3 linked regions of the Stegostoma tigrinum genome follow. The protein of the gene in region 2 binds, or shares a complex with, the protein of the main gene of each other region. Links are inferred from orthologs where the notes say so. Each region holds a gene or a part of one and is shown on either strand. Other genes may lie near its edges.

Region 1 (8,075 bases), on a different chromosome or scaffold from region 2:
TCACGTAGACCTGGAAACAATCGTCTCATGTTAGCGCCTTATGTTTAACTACTTCACATAGAGTCATAGACTTGTAAAGCATGGAAACAGATGCTTCAGTCAATTCAAACCTGCCGACCCAATATCCTAAATTAATCCAGTCCCATTTGCCAGCATTAGGCCCATATCCCTCTAAACCCTTCCTATCCATGTACCCATCCAGGTGCCTTTTAAATGCTGTAACTGTACCAGCCTCCTCCACTTCCTCTGGCAGCTCATTCCATACACACACCACCCTCTGTGTAAAATAGTTGCCCCTCAGGTCCCTTTTAAAGCTTTCCCCTCTCACCTTTAACCTGTGCCCTTTAGTTTCAGACTCCCCTATCCTGCGGAAAAGACCTTGACTATTCACCCTATCCATGCCCCTCATGATTTTCTAAATGTCAGCCCTCAACCACTGATGCTCCAGGGAAAATAGCCCCAAATTATTCAAACTCTCCCTGTAGCTCAAAGCCTCCGACTCCAGCAATATTCTTGTAAATCTTTTCTGAACCTTTTCAAGCCTTACACCATCCTTCCTATAGCACTGAGACCAGAAATGAATGCAGTATTCCAAAAGTGGCCTCACCAACGTCGTGTACAACCTCAACGTGACCCTCCCAACTCCTACACTCAATGCACTGACCAATAAAGGTAAGTGTAACAAATGCTTTCTTCACTATTCTGCCTTGATGCAATGTTTGTGTGATGATGTCATGATTTTAAAAGGTTATTTTTGTTCTTTATTTGAAGAGAGGCTGCAAGGCAGAGAGACCGAAACGGCTACTAAGGACAGCTTGAGTAAACAGCTTGTGAGGCCTTGGATTTTTTTTTTAAACAGACTGAATGGGTGTGGCTAGCTCTCATAGATCTACATTTCCAGGTTTTGATTTCTCATTTGCATAAGAAGCCTTTGGACTCTCAAATGAACTGGAAGCTTCAGTGAATGACTCCTAGCTGCTATTCTCTCTGAATTCTCTCTTGATGTTTTTCCTCCTGGATTGGAGAACTGCCTGTGAGAATCTGTATCTGAATTGTCTTTTTGCCAAGGGGGAGTGTTTATGAGTTGTTACTATATTGGTACAGTTAATTAGTAAGAGTTACTGCATCTGTTACTCGATTATGTTTTCCAATCGTTCGTTTGTTTGCGTTTTAACTACAGCGTTTAGATAAATCATGTTTTGTCTAATGTTGAGTAGTTTGACCAGTTGCTTTGTATCTGGAAAGTGACATTTCACATCTATCTTTAAGGTAAGAAAAATTTAGTGTCTAGGCTACCTTCTCAAAATATTTTGAGGTCGTGTGGTCTGGGCCATAAGATTTGTGATTGAAGTATTGCAGATCATGTTTTATATACGTTTGCTTCCTCTATAAATCGAGCATGGTCAACAGGGAAGCTTATCACCACAACCCCATCTATAAACAAAGTTCTGCACAGGTCTCATTGATGATGCAATGATTTGAGACACAACAGGACATAAGGGATGATAAAATGGACACTAGAAATGAGGAAACAGACATAAATCAGAAACAACTTTAAAGTGAAAAAAAACTTTAAACGAGGACTCCCCCTTGGAAGAATATGCTGATAGGATAAGGTGAAAAGAGGTGCAGCATGGACAGTTGGGCTGCAAGGCCTGTTACAGCAAAATATATACAAGAAGGGTTTGAACACTGACGCAAGTAGACTCATACAGCATTGAAATAGACTTTTTGGTTCAATCCATCCATGCCGACCAGATATCCCAGTCTGACCTAGTCCCTTTCGCCAGGGAGGTGATGGCTTAGTGGTATTGTCGCTGGACTGCTAATCCAGAGATCCCGATAACGTTCTGGGGACCCGGATTCGAATCCCACCATGTCAGATGGTGGAATTTGAATTCAATAAAATGTCTGGAATTAAGAATACCCTGATGATTGCTGGAAAACCCCATCTGCTAGACTAATGTCCTTTAGGGAAGGAACCTGCCATCCTTGCCTGGTCTGGCCTACATGTGACTCCAGACCCACTGCAATGTGGTTGACTCTTAACTGTCCTGTGGGTCAATTAGGGATGGCCAATAAATGCTGCCTAGTCAGCACTGCCCTCATCCTGTTAATGAATAAAGAGCATTTGGCCTATATCCCTCTAAACCCTTCCTATTGATGTCCCCATCCAGATGCCTTTTAAATGCTGTAACTGTACCAGCCTCCACCACTTCCTCTGGCAGCTCGTTCCAGACACACACCATCCCCTTTGCAGAAGCCTTCAACATGCCCCTGGTCATGAGCAGGGTGATAAACTCAGAGGGTGTGTGAGGGGGAGAACATATCTGTAGCAGATTTCCTGTGACCTGTAGCCAATATTATCTGCTTGTGAGGGACCTGGTTTCTAACTTTTTATATTTATGGGTTTAGACATTTCATTGGACTCTACTGTTCACACGACTTCAGGTCTACACCTTGTTCACTATCTTCTAACACAACTCTACCTTCTGAATTGTTCTATTGTACATGTCTAAACATCTCGCAGTCACACTCTGACATACAGCATAAAGTAACACTCACGATAATCGCTCCACCCTTTGTAACAGTGACGTTATTAGATCATTTGAATCTTTACTCCCTGATGTTCCATCTCCCCTGACGGTGTAGATTATGTGTAGTGGAGATACCTGTTCTTGTTTTTCCAAGTACCAAGCAAGAGATTGAGGGTTTGCAGGCTGCTTGAAAATGAGGAAACTATTAAGTTCAATTGAGCTTGCTCAGTACATGCACAAACACACATGTACTGCTCTTCCAGAAATACTCTCTTCCTCCCAGACAGGGCCCAACTAACTGAGTACATCGAGTCCTGCAACCTCTGTTGCTCATACACTATACAGCAGTGTGTCTTCCCACTGATTGTAGAGTCACACACTCATAACGTCATACAGCAAGGGAACAGACCTTTCGGTCCAACCAGTCCATGCCAGCCATAATCCCAAACTAAACACGTGCCACCTGCCCACTCCTGGCCCATATCCCTCCAAACCTTTCTCATTCATGTACTTATCCAACTGTCTTTAAATGTTGTAATTGTGCCCACATCCACCACTTCCTCTGGAGGTTCATCCCACACACGAGCCACCCTCTGTGGAAAAAAACTTATCCTTTATGTCTTTTTTTTTAAAATTTGGCTCCTTTCACCTTAAAAATGTACCTCCTAGTCTCAAAATCCTCATTCCTCGGGAAAAGACAACTGCCATTATTATACATACTATCTATACCCCTTAGCGTCCCACTTGATCAGGGTTAAAGGAAAAGAAACATATTGCATCTATATAGCTCCTCTCACAATCCCATGGAGAGCCAAAGGGCCTTCTGACAAAATAAGGAGCCTTGAAGCTGTTGTCAGCAGTCCCTCGATTTGGAGATGACGTCCAATCAGAATTGGGAGCTTCTACCATGGGTGCTCATGTGACTGAACAGGCCGGTTGTCCATCCTCACGTCTTTAAAGGATGACCCGTGAGGTCGGAGAATGCAGATTGCGAAGGATCTGCTTCCTTTCCTCCCCTCTCAACTGTCTCTCATACTGGCAGAAAGAGTGGCGCACCATCTTAAACGATGGGTAGCGAGCTCCTCTCTGTCATTGTCTTTACACTTCAAGGAAAGTGTCAGTGTCTTTATAGACTCCGCACTGATGCCATCATTTCTTTAGAAACAGTTCAGGGAGGATTCAACAGGATGAGATTGTCTTGTGAGCAAAGATTAAGCAGATAGGGGCTGTATACACTGGAGCTTAGAAGAATCAATGATGATCTTGTTGAGACATACAGCATTCTTAAGGAGCAAAAACAGAAGCTTCTGGAAAGGCTCAGCAGGTCTGACTGCATCTGTGAAGAAAAATAGTGTTTTCGGTCCATTGGCTCCTGAAGAAGGGTCCTGACTCAAAACATCAACTTTCCTGCTCTTTCTGATGCTGCCTGGCCTGCTGTGTTCCACCAGCTCCACACTGTGTTAACTTTGACTCCAGCATCTGCAACTCTTACTTTCTCTGAGACTCTGAAAGCCTGTGTCTTCAAATAACCCTGTTGAACTATAACCTGGTGTCATGTGATTTTTGACCTTGTCCACCCCAATCCAACACTGGCACCTCCACATCAGTGAGTTTTGAGAAGATTTGTAGCTCAGGTTCTATTTATAAATAGAAAGCGGGACATAACACCAGCGCTTTGTCGGAGGCTCACTGATGATGTTACCTAGAATGGTGACGAAATGTCTGAAAACGAACCTTCCAGCTCAGCGAGCAAACTCACATCCAGAACCTCCACATCAATTGTAGGCTGATGTGAGCAGGAATTTCTTCTCTCAGAGGGTTGTGAGTTTTTGGAATTCCTTACCCAGTGAGCTGTGGGGGCAGAGTCCTTGTGTATATTTAAGGCAGAGATAGATAGATTCTTGATCAATTGGGTAATCAAGAGATACAGGGAAAGGGAAGGAATGTGGATATGAGGAATGTCAGACTAGCCATGATCCTACTGATGGAGCAGGATTGAGGGGTTGAACTGTCTAATCCTGTTCCTATTTCCGATGGTTACCCAGATGACAGCACCCCATCTTTTGCCAGTCACTTTAAAGCATCAATTAAATCTTTTCAATACCAGACCTAGAATGGGTGTTCAATTTCATTAAATGGCAATGTCCCTTTAAAAACACCTGGCTGTTTGAAGTTGTCATTGCGGAGGCTAGTCGGAGCTGCTGGGGGTTGAAGTCCATATGCTCGCCTCCGCTTTGTTAAAGGGGCACTGACGAACTACAACACCCAGAATGCCCCCGGTTGTAGTCCCGAACGTTGCCTTTCGGACCGGATGAACGTGACGCGGAAACTGCATCTCCCGGCGATCATTGCGCCAGCAGGAAGTTAGTCAACCCCACTTCTGGTGTGAGGCGAAGCGCGGTCGGTTGCGGTTGAAGGAGTGAAGAAGAGGCGACTGGGGGGACATCTAGCACCATGTGAGTGAGAGGTGGAGGGTGATTGAGAGGGGAAGAGAGACAGGGGTAAAAGAGATGCTTCCCCTCTCATCACCCGCTCCTCTGCCGGTAACTCGGGCCCTTTCGCCGGCGTTGCTAAGGCCTGAGGCCTAGCCCGCGCGGGCCCGAAGCCTTTCCCCACCGAGGTGATGGTGGGCACAGATTCTCGGCTCCTACCCTTCCCTCCCATCGCTCAGGGCGGGAGGGGAAGGAGAGGGAGCAGTAGTTCCCAGATTCGCATTCCCTTTCCGCATCTATTACCCCATTTTACTGGTTCTTCAGATACCGGTTCTCACCCGCCGCCTCCCCCTTCCCTGTCCCTCTCCACTCTGACAAAGCTGTTCAGAATCCTTTGAGAAGGTAACAGGGCAAGTTAGACGAAGGTGAACCAGTCGATGTGATCTATTTGGATTTCCAGAAAGCCTGTGACAAAGTGTTGCACAAGAGGCTGCTAAATAAGAGCTCATGCTGTTAGGGGCAAGGTACTGGCATGGATAGAGGATTGGGCTGACTGGCAGAAAGGGTAAAAGGAGCAAATTACTGCAGATGCTGGAATCTGCACTGAAAATGACAAATGCTAGCGATCACAGTGCTCAGACAGCATCTGTGGAGAGAAAGCAAGCTAATGTTTTGCGCTTGCTCTCTCTCTATCCACAGATGCTTTCTGATCCACTGTGACCCTCAGCATTTATTGCTTTCAGTAGGGATAAGGGAACTTTTTCAGGATGGCCCTCCAAGTCTGTGCTGACATGTTGTGTCCTTCCATACTAAAGCTGCCTTTACTTACAGGATCTGTATCCCTCTACTCCCTTCCTAATCATGTATTTGTCCAGGTGCTTTTAGAAAGTTGCTTTTGTGTCTGCTTCTGCCATCATCTCTGACAGCGCATTCCACCCTTTGTGTGAAAAACTTGCTTGGCACATCTCTCTCAAACATCCACACGCTCACAGACATGCACCTTGAATCTGTGTCCCCTAGTAAATGACTCCTCCATCCTGGAAAAAAAATCCTCATCCTTTCCGCTTTATCCATGCCATTCACAATTTTATAAACTTCTGTCATGTTGAGCTTCCCTCCCGCCCCAACCATCTCCTGTGTTCCAGTGAAAACAAACCCAGTCTTTCTGACCTTTCTTGGCTAAAATCTTCCACACCAGGCAAACCTGGTAAATCTTTTCTGTACCCTCTCCAAAGCATCTACATCCTTCTGGCAGTGTGGTGACCAGAACTGTGTGCAATTTTCCAAGTGTGGCCTAACTAAAGTTCTATAGAGTGCAGCATAATGTACTCAACCTTATACTTAATGCCCCTGCCAAGGAAGGCAAGCATGCCATAAGCATTTTTTTGACGACCTTCTGTACCTGTGCCGCCACCTTCAGTGACCTGTGTACCTGCACGCCTCGATCCCTCTGCATAGCAATCCCGTCCAAAAGGGTTCTGCCATTCACTGTATAATTTCCATCTGTACTTGGTCTTCCAAAATGCATCACCTCACATTTTGCTGGACTAAACTCCATCTGCCATTTTTCTGCTCGTGACTCCAACCGACTTATATCCTGCTGTATCCTCTGACAATCCTCAGTTATCTACAACTCCACTAATCTTTATATTATCCACAAACTTAGTAATTAGACCAAACACATTTTTCCTCTAAATCATTTATGTAGATCATGAACAGCACATGTCCCAGTCGTTCTTTTAAGGCTAACATGCAGGTTCATTTGCCAGTTAAGAAGGCACATGCACTGTTATCAATCATTTCAAGAGGGCTAGAATGGAAAAGCAGAGCTGTATTGCTGAAGCTTCATCAGGCTTTGATTAACTGCATCTGGAATATTGTGAACAGTTTTTGGCCTGTATCTAAAGGAGTTCTAAGGTGGCCTTGAGCAGGTCCACTGAAGGTTTACACGAATGATCCCAGGGATGAAGGAATTGTTGTACGAGGAATGGTTGACGACTCTGGATTTGTACTTGACAGAGTTTAGAAGGATGAGGGGGGAGTTTGATTGAAACTTACAGAATGCTGAGAGGCCTGGATGAAGTGGATGTGGAGAAGATATTTCCTCTAGTAGCAGAGACTAGGATACAAGGGCACAGTGTCAGAGTGAATGGATGACCCTTAGAACTGAGATGAGGAGGAGCTTCTTCAGCCAGAAGCTGGTGAATCTGTGGGACTCATTGCCGCGGAGGGCTGTGGAGGCCAAGTCATTGAGTGTATTTAAGACAGAGAAAGATGGGTTGTTGATTGATAGGGGTATCGGGGTAATGGGCAGAAGGAAGGAAAATAATGTTTAGGAACGTATCAGCCACGTTTGAATGGCGGAGCATACACGATAGGCCGAATGCCCTAATTCAGCTCCTATATCCTGTGGCCTTATGGCTGTCACTGCCCCATCCCCATCCATCTTGCCTCACTGCTTCCTCCTAAATTTGTGCTTTCATCACCTTGTTCAAATTACTCAAATTAACTTACCTTATCCAAGCATTTCCTATACTGCTGTTAAGGTAGGGTATTTACACGGTTTCTTTACTGCAGTTGTTGGAACTAGATATCTAGTTCCAGAGTCCGATCCACTGGGTTTAATGTGGTCTGGCATGTTCATTAGCTATTTCTAATTGGGAACCTGATCAACTCATTTTCTTGAAGGCATACAGAGTCTAGCCCGTTCCCCTGACCCGCTAACATGCTCTTTAATGGCAAAATTTACATTTATATAGTGCCTTAATGTTGTAACTGACATACAGAATCTCTCATGAGCATTATAAAACATTGTGACAGTTGTTCAGTCAAATGACCATACATTTGGTCGAATCTTTAAGGGGCATCTGAAAGGGGGAATAGAAAGCCCTAGAGGCGAAGAGCTTTGGGAAGTGAATTCCACATCCTGGGGCCCAACCAGCCGAAGGCATGGCTGCCAGTGCTGGACTGACTTACATTGGAGAAACTCAGAGCTGGAATTGAATGAGGGCAGGTTGTTGGGTGAGAGGAGATTACAGGATAAGGAGGGGTGATGCTATGGGAGGATCTGAAATCAAGGACGAGAATCTTGAAATCGATGTGGATT
Region 2 (8,190 bases):
TATTGGTTTTACTTAGCAGATACTATGTTTATGTTTGTTAAGATTGAATACTAGCTACATTTCTTTAAAAATTACACAAATTTGATAGACATTTACCGATACCATTACTTTTATCTGTAAAACTTTCAAGTGTATGGAATTTTAGACTATATCCAAAATTGAACCACGGACTAAGACCGCACAAACTTTACCATCAACTTATATTTTGAACCAAAAAGCATATTAAACATAATTCACTTTGTACCACTCAGACCCTGTGGTAAGAATAAAATGGATAACTTGTTACTTTATAAAGAGGTTGGCCAAAGTGAATTAATTTCAAAAATCTTTAACTCCAATAAAAAGATATAGCAAACTTTGTTTTAGCTGGCACCTTAAGAATCGGCACGCTCGGTAAACCGGCAAAAATTATATCCCTAAAATACTGAGAGTTTATTGATTTATTGGGATCTCTGCATTGCCCAAGAGGTCATTTGAGGGTGCATGTGGGAAGGCTCTCTGCTTGTAAGTTTTATTCAGGGCTAAGTGGATTATTATTTAAGTGATTTATGATGTAAAGTGCAGCAGCGATGTGTTTTTTTTCCCCAATACATTTCTATTACTTAGTGTGTGTTTTTATACTGATTATGTGGACCTCTTGATCAACTGGCACACTACTGGTCCCATAGGGCACCAGTTAGTAAAAGGTTTACTGTACAAAGAAAGAATGAAAGATATTATTTCTCCAAAACTGAAAAAGTTATTCTAGTTAATTTCTAATTCATTACCTTGCACTCTGTAATCTTTGGTATTTGATGTGATAAACTTCTGTGAATTCCTCAGCTGGGTACTCATGCAATACAGAATATTCTTCAATGGTTCCATATAATGCAAACAGTTCAATCAACTCCTTCATGACTCCCACAGCTGGCACTCCCTGTATTAGCAGGTGCTTCGATTCCAGATTTATTGTGTACACCTAGACCATTGTCAAACATGAATGTGGGGGAAACAAAGCCAGTGATTTCAAAATCATCAATGCTATATTATTGCTTTAGAGTGGTAGATCCCATAGTTTTTCCCACAGTGATCCCACTAAGGGAATCAAGGGTTACAGGGAGAAGGCAGGACAATGGGATTGAGAAACACATCAGCTATGACTGAATGTTGCAGCAGACTCAATGGGCTAAAAGGCCAAATTCTGCTCTGATATTTAATGATCCTTCAATACTTTGGGATGAAGGTCATAAATTCATCAATCTTAAATCAAGTTAACTTTTTAAATACTATCTATACTAAATTTAATTTCTGACTTCCCAAGACCCTTGTTCGGGAAACAGACACCAAGGGCTGCTCTTTAGTTGGCTCCTCAATATAACTGCTCCAGAAATCCAGCTCATTCACAGTCCAGGAATCCTCCAGAGCATTAGTGCTGATTTGATGGACGATAGATAGTATAAGGTACTGGTGGAGGTTAGATAGACCTTAGGTTTAGGGTAAAAGTTCCACACAGCTTCTATGTTAACTGAAATTATCCATTATTACTTTATTACCCACAAGTACACGCAAGTGTAATGTCCTGATTTGTACTGTGTCCAGTATCACCTGTACAATTTAGTGATCTATAAAAAACTTGAAAAAAATTGTGCTGCCCCTTACTGTTCCTTACCCTACCCAAACTGATTCTACATCTTTTGGAATAGGGTTATTCCAAGGCACAACATCGTGGGTCAAAAGGCCTGTACTGTGCTGTACTTTTCTATGTTCTCTGTTCTATCTTCATCCTTTCATCCAAGGTTCCCTCTCACTAATCTACTGATCCTGTCTTCTATTAAGAGTGCTATCTCATCTCCTTGTCCTTCTTGCCCATCCCTCCTAAATCCCAAATGTTCAATTTCCAATCTTGGTCACTCTGTAACCACGTCTCTGTAATAGTATTTAAATCCAATTACTACAATTTGTGCATTTAAATCAACTATTTTGCAATTGTTACTTGGATTCAATAAATTGTTTCTAATTCTACGTGTTCATCATTATGCTCTATTCCTAACATAAGGAGATCACAAATTATCTTCTCCACAAAGCAGTGAAGGATGGCTCACTGAACTTATCCAAGGCTGAGCTGAATGGAATATTGACAAACAAGGGAATCAAGGATTATGGTTTGCAAACAGAATAGTAAAGCTGACACCATAATCAGATCAGCCATGATTTTACTAATTACACAACAGCTTTGAAGGGCCAGATAGACGTCTCCTGCTCTTGAATGTTGTGGTCCTCTACAGCATTGACAAATTGTTGTTCAGGTTCAGAAACAGGTCTGTTGGGTGAGTGAAGTCCTAAAGCTCTTTGCAGGGATGACATTGTCATCCAATGCATAGCCATACTGACTGTGGTATTTCCAAGACAAAGAAAGATATAGGAGATCTGCAAATGAGCTGTATGGCAGAAAGGTGGTGGTGAAATTGGAAGCCGTCATTCAGTTCTAAAATGCAGAATTTTAAAATATGCCATTACATGTGAACATTGGCTAGGAATTTGTTGTTTGTTCTTAACTGCTCTTGAAAAACAAACAAATGCTTAACTATCTTCTCAAATTGCTGCAGTCCACGTGGTTTACTTATTTCGCCGTAGTGTTAGGAAATCAGTTTCAGAATTTTGATAGCAAAATTAAAGGAACCGAAATACGGTCCCGAGTGCGGCTTGGAGAAGTTACAGGTGGTGGTTTCCCACGTAACCGCGGCTCTTGCCCTTCTAGGTGGTAGAACTCATGGGTTTGTAAGGTGTTATTGAAATTACTTGAATGCACCTGTAATGTATCTTGTATGTAATACTGTCACTGTGGTGGAGGGAGTCAGTGTTTAAATTAGAATACCGTTCAAGCGAACTGCTAGAATTATTATACTTCAGTCGACAGAGTGAATCTCTAGCCAAGAATCATAAATATTCTAGAGTTTACAGGGTTAATTTAAATAACCTGTTTATACCCGCTAACGTTTAGATCATAACCGAACTGTTTATAATTACAAAGGAAAGAATTGGAAGGACAGAATTCTTTCTGGTGAGGTAATCGAGCGCAATATTTTGCCATTGAAATTAGATAATTTAGCAGTAAATTATTAAATGTTTTCGACCATAAAGTGGAAATCTGGATCACGCTCAATGTCGACAAGAAAACGATAAACGTCTTCTAAAGATCCAAGAAAACTCCAAAATATTCGCATCTTTCCACCAGACAGCCATGTTGTATCCTCATTGAGAACAACATTGCATTCAACGAAAGACTTTTGCATTCCTCGCAATCAATGAGCTGCAGGACGGGATCGGGTTGTTTCACAAACCTTCACCTACATCCGAAGCAGCACTTACTTTGACAGCCCTCAGCCTCCGACCCTCTCGGTACTTGGGTCGCGTGAAGCAGACGTTTTCCTGCCGATGGTGTCTGAACACCTCAGGAACCCGAACAGCCATCTTTGATCGAAGAAGAGACGATCGCAATCGAGTACCGATCGCTCGATGACTAGATCGTTTGGCACCGGCCCCGGATGGAGTCCCGCCTCCTCCGTGCCCTCCCGTTGAGCTCGGGATGTGATAGGTCGGTCAGAGGTCAATCGAAGAAATCTTGCGTCGGTAGGTCATTTTCGGAAACGGAAACTGACGGAAGTTGGCTGTGCTGGATCTGGCGAATGCGGTCTGTGTTCGAATCTGTGGAATCCTGCGCCTAACGGTGTAAGCGGCGCGAGTTGTGCCCTTTGGCAGCGCGCGGCAGGATGTTGGTTGCCGGGGCCGTCTGCGTGCAACTCAGACTCGGCAACATCAAGGACTGCTTCCTGCACCTGGCCCCTCAGCGAGCATCGCAACTTCATCTGGAGGAGGTGATAGCCGTCGCCAATGGCGTCTTCCCTTTCTTCTCTTCCCCGCTACCACTGTCTTTTTGATTTTACGCCTGCATTTATTATCCATCCCCGGTCACCTTGGCGTCGGGGTTGGGTGCAAGTGATGTTCATTTCAGAGGTCAGCTACGTTGGTGAGGGACTGGCACCACATACAGGCTGCTGTGAGTGAGGACGCCAGATTTCCTTCTCTGGGAGAACAAAAGCAATTATTGAACAGTTTGGATATATATAGTAGGCCGACAATTTAATGGATTCTATTGCTGCTGGTCTTTCATATGTTTTCTCTTAAAAGCGTTGTATTTTGTGTCGCCACGCGCAGTGACTTGTAGCATGTGACGTATTGTGTATTAACATTGTATTAGACACAACAGTGTGGATGGAGCTGGAGGAACACAGCATCAGAGCAATACGAAAGTCGATGTTTCGGGTTGGGACCCTTCCTCATTTATATTTTGTTTATAATTAGTTTTTAGTAATGGCATTTTCTTATGTTTATCTTTCACTTACTGTAAGGCTTGACATAACAAGGTGTAGAGCTGGATGAACACAGCAGGCCGAGCAGGAAGGCTGACGTTTCTGGCCTAGACCCTTCTTCAGAAATGGGGGAGGTGGATAAAAGATGGATAGAAGAGAAGATAGGTGGAGAGGAGACAGACCGGTCAAAGAGGTGGGGATGGAGCCAGTAAAAGTAAGTGTAGGTGGGGAGTTATATGGGAGATAGGTCAAACCAGGGAGGATGGACAGGTCAAGTGGTGTGGGATGAGGCTAGTAGATAGAAGATGGGGGTGGAGCTTGAGGTGGGAGGAAGGGATAGGTGAGAAGAACAGGTTAGGGAGGTGGAGACGAGCTGGGCTAGTTTTGGGATGTGGTAGTTGGAGGGGAGATTTTGAAGCTTGTGAAGTCCACATTGATTCCATTGGTCTGCAGGATTCCCAAGCGGAATATGAATCACTACTCCTGCAACCGTCTGGTGGCATCGTTGTGGCACTGCAGGAGGCCCAGGATGTATGTGTCGTCTGAGGAATGGGAGGGGGAGTTGAAATGGTTTGCACCTTGGACGTGCAGTTGTTTAGTGTGAACCGAGCGTAGATGTTCCACAAAGCATCTGCTTCCCTTTGGTTAGTTTCTGCAATGCACCTTGTAGATAGTAGCAGCAATAGGTACTGAGTGTCAGTGGTGGAAGGAGTGAATGCTTCTGGATATGGTGCTAATCATTCAGGCTGCTTTATCACGAATGGAGTCAAACTTCTTGTGTTGCTGGAGCTGCACCCATCCAGGCAAGTGGAGGGCATTCCATCACACCATTGGCTTTGTGGAGTCAGGAGGTGAGTTAGTTGCAGTAGTATTCCTAGTCTTTGACCTGCTTTTGTAACCACTGAGTTTATGTGGTGAGTCCGGTTGAGTTTCTGGTCAATGATAACCCTAAGGATGTTGTTATTGGGGAATTCCCTTCTAACACCAATGAAGTCAAGTGACAGTGTTAGGCCTTGCTTATTGGAGATGGTCATTACCTGGCATTTCTGCTGTGTGAATGTTACTTGCCACTCATCAGCCCAGGCCTGGATATTGTCCAAATCTTGTTACATTTGAACTTGGACTACTTCAGTGTCTGAGGAGTTACGAATGGTGCTGAACTTTAGATCTTGAAAATGTCACAAATAAGCTCAGAAAATAATCTACGAAATTGATTGGAATACTGGCTGTTGTTATCTAGAGGAATGAAGTACAAGGAACCAGAGGTTATGCTGCAGTTGTACAAAACACCGGTTAGATCCTGCTTACAGTATTGCAGCCTGATGTAAGCAGATCAGGGCACCACCCCTGAGGAAGGGTGTATTGGCCGTGGAGGGAGTAAAACATAGGTGTACAAGAATGATACCTGGACTTCAGGGTTAAGTTTTGAGGAGTGATCTTACAAATTAGGCCTGTTTTCTCTAGAAGTTAGAAGGTAATCTAGAAGGTCTTCAACATTTTAACAGGAAAAGACAGTGGATAAAGATAAACTACTTGTGCTGCTTGGGGAACTAGAACTGGAGGATTAGTCTAAAAATTAGAGCCGGACAATTCAGGAGAGATGTTAGGGAGCACTTCTACACAAAAGGGTGATTTGAGGTTTAGAACTCTTTCCACAAACAACAGTGGATGTAGGATCCGTTGTCAGTTTTAAATCTGAGATGGATCATTTTTGTTAAGCAATGGTATTAAGAGATATGGGCCAAAGGCAGAGATAATGGGAACTGCAGATGCTGGAGAATTCCAAGATAATAAAATGTGAGGCTGGATGAACACAGCAGGCCAAGCAGCTTCTCAGGAGCACAAAAGCTTTTGTGCTCCTGAGATGCTGCTTGGCCTGCTGTGTTCATCCAGCCTCACATTTTATTATCATGGGCCAAAGGCAGATATGTGGAGTTCGGCCACACATAAGCCATGATTTCGTTTAATGGTGAAACAGGCCTGAATGGTCTGTACCAGTTCCTATTGTTATAAGTTAGTCCTAGCTTCGCCTGTAAAAGTAGTTTACCAGGTTACTAAATAGTGAACATCTTCAAGTACTTTCCTTGTTTTTAGGGAGTTTCTTGAATCCTCTGCCATTAGTAGAGCTTTTCTTTTCTGATGATTATTTTTCCCTGCCAAAACGAATCTCCCAAAATCCTTTGAACGCAAGTTTGGTCTGTTCAGGAGACGGCTGTGTGTGACCTCATAACAACACTTCAGGGACTTTGAGAGGCTTAGAATTTAATAGAAGGCTGCCATTGTCTTTAAGTGTAATTATCTTCCACCTGCTTGTACAAGAATCATAGCCTTTCTGGAAATGTTTCGTTAGTTGCATATTAATACCATACTAGTATTACCTTGGGATGTCTCAAAGCCCCTTTCAAACCTTGAAGTACATTGTGGGAAAGTAGCAGCCAGTGTTTCGCAGAACAAGGTTCGACAGTCAGCTAAATGATGATGAGAAAATCTGTACAGTGATTTGTTGTACCAACAGTTGGCCAGGACAGAAGGTTTTAGCTCAAATCTGGGATTTGAACTTGTAACCCACATTAATTTCTCTACAGAGTTGAATTAGTGTGGTGTTGTTTTGGGGTTGCCACCTATTCTCAGTTCGAGAGTGAGACTTGAGCCAGTTTGAAGTTGCGTTATAAGTCATTGTTCCTCAGTGTTCCAGTTACCCAGTTCAATAAAAGATGTAAGGATGAATGCTGCAACTACTCCTCAGTTTAATCCTGTGGAAGTAACCAGGACAAAATTTGATGTTCACTTTAAATGCATGTTAATTAAGGAAAGTTGGGATGGATTAGTTAAAGTCAGATCATGCTGGATGATGAAGACAACATTTTGACCAAATATGGTGTCAGAGTCCTAGTAAACTTGGAGTAAATGGGGGAAACTTTCTGTTGTTTGGAGCCACACATAACACAAAGAAAGATAGTTGTGGTTGTTGGAGGTCAATTATCTCAGCCACAGAATATCATAGTAGGTGTTCTGGATAAATATTTTTAATCAGCTTGTTCAGGTGTTTTATCACATACCTCTGGAGCAGGTGGGTCATGAATCCAGGCCTACTGGCTCTGAGGTTGGGGCTCTACCATTGTGCCTCAAGAGCCCTTCCCAAGTTCCTCTGGATCTTGTCGTATGCCCAAACATCTTCAGCTGCTTCATCATTGACATTCATTTCATCATAAGGTCAGAGGTGGGGATGTTTGCTGATGATTGCACAATGGTCAGCACCATTCTTAACTGCCTCATATTGGAGCAATCCTTGTCTAAATGCAACAAAATGTGGACAGCGTTCAGGCTGGGCTGTTTAGTAATGCCAACAAGAGAGAATCCAGCAATCACCCCTTGACATTCGGTGCCATTACCCTAGTTGAATCCTTTACTATCAATACTTTTAAGGATACCTTTGATCAGAATCTCAACAGGACCAGCCATATAAGTACTGGGGTTACAAATGCAGGTTAGAGGCAGTGAATTCTGCAACAAGTAACTTGCCTTCTGGTTCATCAAAACATCGAATATGAGGTACAAGTCAGGAGTGTGGTTGAATACTCATGAGTGTATCTCAACATCATCCAAGACTTAACAGCCCACTTGATTGGCACTCCATCTACAACATTCGTTCCATCCAACATTGTAGTGCAGTGGCACTGATGCACTGCAGTAACTTACCAAGGCTCCTTCAAGTTTCTCTCCAAGCCATGAACCATCTTGACTTGAAACTATATCATTGTTTCTTCATTGTCATTGGTCAAAGTTGTGCAACAACCTCCCCTGCAGCACTATAGATTTACCTGCATTTCATAGAATTCAG
Region 3 (8,594 bases), on a different chromosome or scaffold from region 2:
AACTGATCTACAAACAGCCAGCATGAACTCAATAGGACAAATTGCTCATTCAACCCCCTAATGACTATGACTGAAAAAAAAATCTTGGTTAATTAATACCAAGAACAAGAAGCAATTGACTGTGAATAAAATTAATCTTGGTAAAACTGATCCCAGCACAAAATGTTATGCAAAGTTGCTCATTAACTTTGTTCAATCCAGAAAAATAAAATCAGATGATCAATGCACGCACTAATTTTAATATTACACCTAAGTACTTCCCTCGAAGTACCAAAGGGTGTTGGCAATACTTTCAAAACGGGATTCAGAGAGAGAAAAGGGTAACAGACAGCCGAAACACTTTTGGACCGGACTGTGGAATAGGACAAAAGCTATGGCCTATCAAACACAAAAGTATCAGTCTATAAAATCCACTCACTTATAAAGTATTTCAACATATTTAATGCCCTAAGACAAACATTTCCATAAATATTGCCTGCTTCCCATTTACTGCTCCACCCCTAAAACTGTACTTGTTAAATCTACAAGAACTGCAGTCGCGTTTATTAAAATACAACAGTGACTATGTTTCAAAATTGCTCGACTGGTTATAAAATTATATGCAATGACCCAAGACCAGGAAAGGTGACTTGGGAACATAAGGTCTTTCTTTAGCTCCAGGATATAAATTAGATTTTGGCAGCTGCTTGCCCGAGACACTTTCCCTGTCCCAGGAAACATCAAACCCTTTACAGGTACTGCTCAGTGAGGAATCTATCACTGTGACCACAAGCTCATTTCTTAATGGGATGTTTGTTTAGTTTTTTTTTCTTAAAGTAGTTATTTAATATTAACAAACTGCCTTTCCGGGGAAGACTGCTGAACATCGAGGAAATAAAAATCATTTTGCAGTCTACTTCCTATAATAGAAATTGGGAGAGAGAAACCTGGACAGCAAATAAAAGAAAACCAATCCTACAGGAGAAGGGTGGCAACCAGGAAATCCAATGGGATCAGCATCAGACTAACCGATGTCAGAACAATGCAAAGTTGTCATTTAAGGGAGCACAGGGAACCATTCAACCAACATGTCCATACTGGACCCTGCACAGCAATCCAGTTAGGTCCACTCCCCACAGGCTTACATTAATAGCTTTTTAAACACCAACCTGTATTGTAGCACTGCATGTTGCTTGGAGCAGGAAGGATGGTCAATTGGGATATCCACGACCCTCCGCTGTCGGCCCAAGAGATAGGCACTCTGACGATGAATGTGCATAACTGGAAGAGGCTCATCATTCTTGAACGGATAAAGCCGCCATCGTTTCCTTGGGATCCGGGACTCGGGCGGTTCACAGTATTTTATCACCACTCCACGAAAGGTGTTTGTGTCTTCCACGAGGGCACCAGAAAGCTCAAAATTTGGCTCCTCTTTCACCGGGGCTGTGTTGCCACTATGAGCTTGGCTGTTATTTGACTCAGAGGCAGGATGCTCATCACTGAGCAGGGGACACTGATTGCGGTTTTGACGCCTTCTCTCATTGTAGTACTCTCGCTCGGCCTGCTGAGTGCTGAGGAGCTGAGCCTCCCTGTCTCGGCCACTTGTACCACCTTCTGTGTGAGAGCTACCATTCCTTTTGTTGTGGCCTCGGCCCCGGTCTGAACATTCTCTGTGACGCTCTCGGTCACTGTTCTTCTTGCGCCGATGCCCATTTCTACTAGAGTGGTCTCTGTGTCGTCTCTCAGCATGATCCCGTTGAGAATGGTCATGCCGTTCCTGAACGGAATGAGAAAAATTAAATTTTGCATGCCATGGCATGGCCTGAAATTATGAGACAATTGGTATAAAAACTTCACATGGTAACTAGCGGAGATTATTATTTCATCATAGAATTATAAAATCCACACAGTGCAGATAGAGACAATTCAGCCCGAGTCTGCACCAACATTCCGAAGAGTCAGAGATGCACCAGATCCACCCCCCCATCCTATCACCATAATCTCACGATGACCATGACCAAGCCATCTAGCCTAACCATCCTTCAACAGGTGGGGCAAATTAGCATGGCTAATCCTTCTAACCTGCACACTTGGACTGTAGGAGGAAACCAGAGGGCCAGGCAGAAACCCACACAGGCATGGGGAGAATGTGCAAGCTCTACACAAGGTTGGAATCAAACTTGGATCACTGGCACAGGGAGGCAGCAAGGCTAACTACTGTGCTGTGTTGCCAAATTAACTTATCCGTGAAATACATGAACTGGAAAGCTAACTATAAACTATTGTATTTAACTATCACATTAAACCTTGTGGCTTCACAACAGAACACAATTCACATCCAGGGTGATCATTTTAACTTTTAACCACTAAAACAGGAATCTAGAATCAAATTTAATCACAACTAAGGAGGCCATTCAGCCAGATAGCACCTTCAGAGGGCTATCCAATCAGTCCCATTCACCAGTCACAGTGCTGCAACTCATGTCTCTTTTGAATCATTCAGTTTCCTTCCAAAAAGTGAAAATCAAATCTGCTTCTGCTACCCTGTCAGGCAGCGCTTTTCGGCGTATAAGATCTCACTCTGGATGAAAGGAAATTTGTATTGGTGTCTTCGCCAAACACCTTTAAACTTGTGTTCTCTCATTCAGGTCCCTTCTGCTGCTATTAACAATTCCTCATGCACTTTAATGGAACTTTTTAATAATACTTCACCTGCCTCTTCATTGCACCAAATTCCCCTCCTTCCTGCGCTCACCGAGGAACTGAATTTTCACTCACACACTCTCTTTAGCAATGACACTAGAGTGAGATTGACGTGAAAGTTAAATCCTCTTCCTCAGTTATGATGTGGCTGAATTGGGGCTGCAGTTCCTGTCATGCGAGGGAACGGTTGCTGCAGTAATGATTTGTGTTTTATTATTATTACCGGCTTGACTCGGTAACTCACCCGCTTCAACTTGCCCCCGGGCCGTGAATGTTGTTGTTGTTCGGGTGCCGGCTTCCTCCGGGCCGGGGAGCGGCTCTGCCAGTGCTCAGGTGGAGAGACGCTGCCCCCGGAGGAGCCCGAACTCGAGGGCCGGTGCTTGGGGCCAACTGCCCCCTCTCGCTTGATCCTCAATCGGTGGCGGTCGGTCGCGGGCCCAGGCTCGGGGCTGTGCCAGGCCCGGCGGCGGCCCTGAGCCTCCATCTTCCCGGCTGTGGCACCGACCCGGAACAACACTGCCGGCCAGCGAATAGAACACTTCCGGGGTCACGTAGCAGAGGTGAGAGATCAGCCAGCCAAGGCTCTTGGCTCCAACCTTGGACAGGCAACTGCAGAATGATTCCCTCCTAATATTAGATTCATGAATCGCTGCATCACCTCTCTCAATACACACTGCTCCAGAGATGCTTGCTGATGTTTTCTTGTTATTATTATTTTTATTTGTTCTTGCCTGTCTCCAGTGCTCCTGCTGATTTCTCAAACCCATTGGGCGCTAATGGTCTCAGGGTTGCAACTAGACTAGAACTTGGCCTGCTGTGTTCATCCAGCTTCACATTTCGTTATCTTAGAACTAGGGGGATACAGTTTAAAAATTAGCGGACTCGTATTTCAAGTTAGAGATGAAGAGAGTTTATTTCTCTTGTCAGAGGGTCGGATGTCTTTGGCAATCTCTTGGCAGGGAATGGTGGACGTGGGATTACCGAATATTTTTGAGGCAGAGTTAGATTCTTAGCTGACAAGTCAAAGTTTATTTAGGGGTGGTTAGGCACAGCAGTGGAGGTGAGGCCGCAATCAGGTGAGGCATGATATTATTTGAATGGCAGAGCAGGCTTGAGGGGACAAATGGCCTACTTTAGCCTATAATTTCTATGCACCTAACAGGGTGACCAACTCGGGTTAGGAAGAAGGGAAATTTTGGTACAGGTGACTGTCCAACTGGGCTGGGGGATGTTGATGAGCCAGTGGGAGGTGCATTATCCACATCTGCAACAATTAGGCAGCACAGTAGCTCAGTGGTTAGCAAAGCTGCCTCACTGCACCAGGGATCAGGGTTTGATTTCACCCTTGGGTAACTATCTGTTTGAAGTTTGGACATTCTGTGACTGCATGGGTTTCCCCCAGATGTTCCGGTTTACTCGCACAGTCCAAAGATGTGCAGGTTAGGTGGATTGACCATGGGAAATGCAGAGTTACTGGGATGGGATATGTCTGAGTGGGATGCTATTCAGAGGGTCAGTGTGGACTTGATGGGCTGAATGGCCTGCTCCTGCACTACCTGGATTCTATGATGAAAAATGCGGAATAAGGACTGTTCTGAAAACAGCCAATCCGGGACAAGGGACAATCTGGTCCAAAATTGAATAGTCCAAAAAAATCCAGGAAATTTGGTCACTGTTGTAAACTGAACACTCAGGTTCAGGACAGCAAACAGAAATATACGAAAGACTGAAAGGGCGAAAGTTTCTGCCTAAAAGTTTCTCATTCCCCCAGTTAGACTGGTTAGCAAGGTTAGATCATGTGGAATACAGGAGAACTTGCGATTTGGATACAGAACTGGCTCGAAGGTAGGAGATCGAGAGTGGTGGTAGAAGGTTACTTTTCAGACCGGAGGCCTGTGACAAACAGTGTGCCATAAGGATTAGTACTGGGTCCACTGTCCTTTGTCATTTATATAAATGATTTAGATGTGAACGTAGGAGGTATGTTCAATAAGTTTGCAGGTGACACCAAAATTGGACAACCAAGGTTACCTCAGAGTACAATAGGACCCTGATCAGATGGGCCAAGGAGTGCCAGATGGAGTTTAATTTTGATAAATATGAGGTGCTGCATTTTGGAAAGGCAAATCAGGACAGGACTTATACACTTAATGGTAAGGTCCTGGGGATTGTTGCTGAACAAAGATACCTTGGAGTGTAAGTTCACTGCTCCTTGAAAGTAGATTCACATGTTGACAGGATAGTAAAGATGACATTGGTATGCTTGCCTTTATTGTTCAGCGCATTCAGTACAGGAGTTGGGAGGTCATGTTGCAGCTGTACAGCACATTGGTTAGGCCACTTTTGGAATGCTGTGTGCAGTTCTGGTCTCCCTGCCATAGGAAGAATGTTGTGAAACTTGAAAGGGTTCAGAAAAGAATTACAAGGATGTTGCCAGAGTTGCAAGGTTTGAGCTAGAGGGGGAGTAGACTGGGGCTATTTTCATTCGGGCGTTGGAGGCTGAGGGGTGACCTTATAGAAATTTATAAAAATCATAAGGGGCATAGATAGAGACCTATTGGGCAACTTTTTCATGCAGAGGGTGGAGCATGTATGGAATGAGCTGCCACAGGAACTTGTGGAAGCTGGTACAATTATGACTTTTAAAAGGCATCTGGATGGATATATGAATAGGAAGGAGTCAGATGGATATGGCAAATACAGGCAAATGGGACTAGATTAATTTAGGATATCTGGTCAGCATAGATGAGTTGGATCCAGCTCTATGTACACCTGTACAATTCTTTGACTCTACTATAAACTAAGATGCTGAAAATCTCTCAGGGCTATATGTATGGCACAAAATATATATTGTAATTATAAATGTTGATCGAATGTAGTGAAGCACCCCTGGATAAAATAGCCTTTTCAGTTGATTCGCAGATTCTCAAGCAGTCTGCAATTTCAGTGGCTTGGATAGACTGGGATATCTTTCCCTGAACCAAAGGGGGCTGAGAGGTCTTTTATAAAGATTTTTAAAATCATGAGGGGCACAGATAAGGTGAATAGCCAAGGTCTTTTCCCTTAGGGTAGGGAAGTCCAAAATTAGAGAGCAAAGGTTTAAGATGAGAGCGGTAGAGATTTAAAAGGGACCTGAGGAACAACTTTTTCATACAGTGGGAGTTGTGTATATGGAATGTAAGACATTTGGACAGATACATGGATAGAAACGTTTTAGGGTCATATGGGCCAAATGCAAGCAAATGGGACTAGCTCAATATAGGAAACTTGGTCAGCATGGAGGATTGGGCTGAAGGGCCTGTTTTTGTGCTCTGTGCCTCTATAAATTACCTTCTGGTAACAACATACTGTGTTCACACAGAACCTTTAATGTAGAAAAATGTTCACAGAAGCATAGCAGGAGAAAAGAACATTGATGCTAGACCAAAGAAATATGATGCAGCAAAGGAATAACTGATGCTTTATCCAAGAGACTGTGTTTTATACATGTCACACCACACTGGGACACATGCTACAAATCATGGCTTGCTATTTCTAGAGTCATCACAAAAGTTGACAATTTTATCAAAGTACACAAAGTCCCAAATTTACCTGTCTGACAGACTCAGGTTAACATAAAATATGGATCCGTTTCTGAACCTACCAGGAATTACTATTTACTCCAAATAAATAAGTTCTCTGTCTGTCTCTTTGTAGGATATGCTGAACATTCCTTGCTCCTGTCCCACTCAATCTCCCTTCCACAGTTCTTTCTCTAGTACATTGATAATGTCATCAGGACTGCTTCCTGCACTCATTAAGAATTGGAAACTTAACCCGTTTTGCTTCCAACTTTTGTCCTCCTCTCACCTTCACCTGGTCTAACTCTGACTCTCCATTTCCCTTCTTTGACTTCACGGGGTTTCTATTTCTGGAGACAAGCTGTCCACCAATATCCACGATAAACCCACCTCATCCCATAGTTACTTTGACTACAGTTTCACACCCTGTTTCCTTCAAGGATTCCATTCTATTCTCTCAGTTTCTCCATCTCCGCAGCATCTGTTTCAATAAAGCCATCTTCCACTGATGTGTCTCCAAACTTTTCTCATTTTTTTCTCAGTCGAGAATTGCCCCACAACATGGTTGACAGGGCCTTCAGATGTGTGTTACCCATTTGCTGTCCTTTTGCCCTCACCACTTTGCTTCTCTCACAGACAAAAAGATTCCCCATGTTGTCACTTTGCACACCACCAGTCTCCACACTGAGGAAATTCTCTGCCATTTCCACCACATCTAGAAGGATGCCACCAACAAATTCTTCTTCCCCTCCCCACACTTCAGTGTTCCGCATGGACTGTTCCCTCTGTGAACTCTGGTTCACTACTCAGAGACTCCTTACACACCATCCTCCCCGCAGGGCACCTTTCCATGAGGTGCTTCTTGCCTTGATACCTCTCCTCTCCTTACAGTCTTACACTCCCTAAGATCCCAAACACATTTTCTAGGTGACATATCATTTCACTCATATTTCTTTCATACTAGTCTACTGTCGTCACTTCTCACCATGTGGCCTCCTCTAAATTAGCGAGACAAAATGCAGAATGGGGAACCACTTTACAGATCAGCTCCACTCTGTCTATAAGAATGACCCAGACATTTCAGTTGTTTGCCATTTCAATGAACTATCTTGTTCCCATTTCCATCCTAGGCCTGCTGTAGCATTCCAGCAAAGTTCAACACAAGGTGAAGAAACAACACCTCATTTTCCACTTAGGCACTTTACAACTTGGGAACTAACAATGAAAGTTCAACAGCTTCAGAGCATGAACATCACCTTTCATTCTGATTACATCCCCACCCTTCCCCATGTCTTGCTGATGTTTAGTTGGCCTTGCTCCCAGCAGAGCTGACCTGTTTTCTCCTGTTAAAAGTTATCATTAACATCTACTTTACATCCTAATCTGTCGTTTATCATCATTAGCACTGCCTTTATATTTCGCTCACCATACCCACCCTCCCACTCCATCTTATCAACAGCATAACAGCCATAACTTCCCAACCCCTTAGTACTGAAAAAAAGGCAAACTCATTCTCTCTTTGCCAGACCTGCTGAGTTTCTCTAATATTTTCTGTTTTAGTTTTAATCAAGAAAGCAGGAACAGGAGCAATAGATCATGCTTTTAGGAAAACTTGAGTGTTGACATTATCGTACATAACATGGCCTCATAGTAGCGAGTTTTGAGAAGATTTGTAGCTCAGGTTGAGGTTCTGGATGTGAGTTTGCTCGCTGAGCTGGAAGGTTAGTTTTCAGACCTTTTGTCACTTTTTTTTATTTGAAAAAATGTACTTTATTCATAAGATGTACAAAATAAAACATATTTATATACCTACCCAGTCATGCAAGCCGCTCTGGGTTACCCAGGGGGTACGTACATCAACTAAAGGAAAAAAAACAAAGAAGAAAAAAACAAAGCAAAGAAAATACCCCGGCAGTCGTCACCCCGCACAGTCCCCGTTGGCTCCCTGACCAGTTGGGGAAGGCGCCAGCTGGGCCCAGTTACCAGATAGGATTCTTTTCCCTTTTCTGGACGAGGGGTTTCATACGGTGGTCTTTCCCCACCGCGCCTTGGTGGCGGCTGCCCCAAGCTTTAGCGCGTCCCTCAGCACGTAGTCCTGGGCCTTGGAGTGCTCCAGTCTGCAACACTCGGTCGGGGTCAGTTCTTTCAGCTGGCAGACCAGCAAGTTGCAGGCAGACCAAAGAGCATCTTTCACCGCATTGATGGTCCTCCAGGCGCAGTTGATGTTGGTCTCGGTGTGCGTCCCGGGAAACAGCTCATAGAGCACGGAGTCCCGCGTCACGGAGCTGCTCGGGACAAACCTCGACAAATACCACCGCATCCCCCTCCAGACCTCCTGCGCATAGGCACACT

What was found.
Region 1: rbm48 (region 2) and snrpd2 share a complex: the UniProt entries of both Homo sapiens proteins name them as parts of the minor spliceosome. The link is inferred for Stegostoma tigrinum from reciprocal best matches to the Homo sapiens genes RBM48 and SNRPD2.
Region 3: rbm48 (region 2) and snip1 share a complex: the UniProt entries of both Homo sapiens proteins name them as parts of the minor spliceosome. The link is inferred for Stegostoma tigrinum from reciprocal best matches to the Homo sapiens genes RBM48 and SNIP1.

Annotation. Positions count from the first base shown.
Region 1 is NC_081392.1:12,359,126-12,367,200, reverse strand, and holds the start of snrpd2 (small nuclear ribonucleoprotein Sm D2), read left to right. Parts: upstream 1-4,878; 5' UTR 4,879-4,991; coding exon 4,992-4,993; intron 4,994-8,075. UniProt on the Homo sapiens protein: Plays a role in pre-mRNA splicing as a core component of the spliceosomal U1, U2, U4 and U5 small nuclear ribonucleoproteins (snRNPs), the building blocks of the spliceosome.
Region 2 is NC_081355.1:77,251,623-77,259,812, reverse strand, and holds the start of rbm48 (RNA-binding protein 48), read right to left. Parts: upstream 3,537-8,190; 5' UTR 3,451-3,536; coding exon 3,349-3,450; intron 959-3,348; coding exon 768-958; intron 1-767. Other genes in the region: pex1 (peroxisome biogenesis factor 1), read left to right, coding at 3,750-3,854. UniProt on the Homo sapiens protein: As a component of the minor spliceosome, involved in the splicing of U12-type introns in pre-mRNAs.
Region 3 is NC_081377.1:12,589,121-12,597,714, forward strand, and holds the start of snip1 (smad nuclear-interacting protein 1), read right to left. Parts: upstream 3,198-8,594; 5' UTR 3,167-3,197; coding exon 2,927-3,166; intron 1,757-2,926; coding exon 1,149-1,756; intron 1-1,148. UniProt on the Homo sapiens protein: Required for pre-mRNA splicing as component of the spliceosome. As a component of the minor spliceosome, involved in the splicing of U12-type introns in pre-mRNAs. Down-regulates NF-kappa-B signaling by competing with RELA for CREBBP/EP300 binding.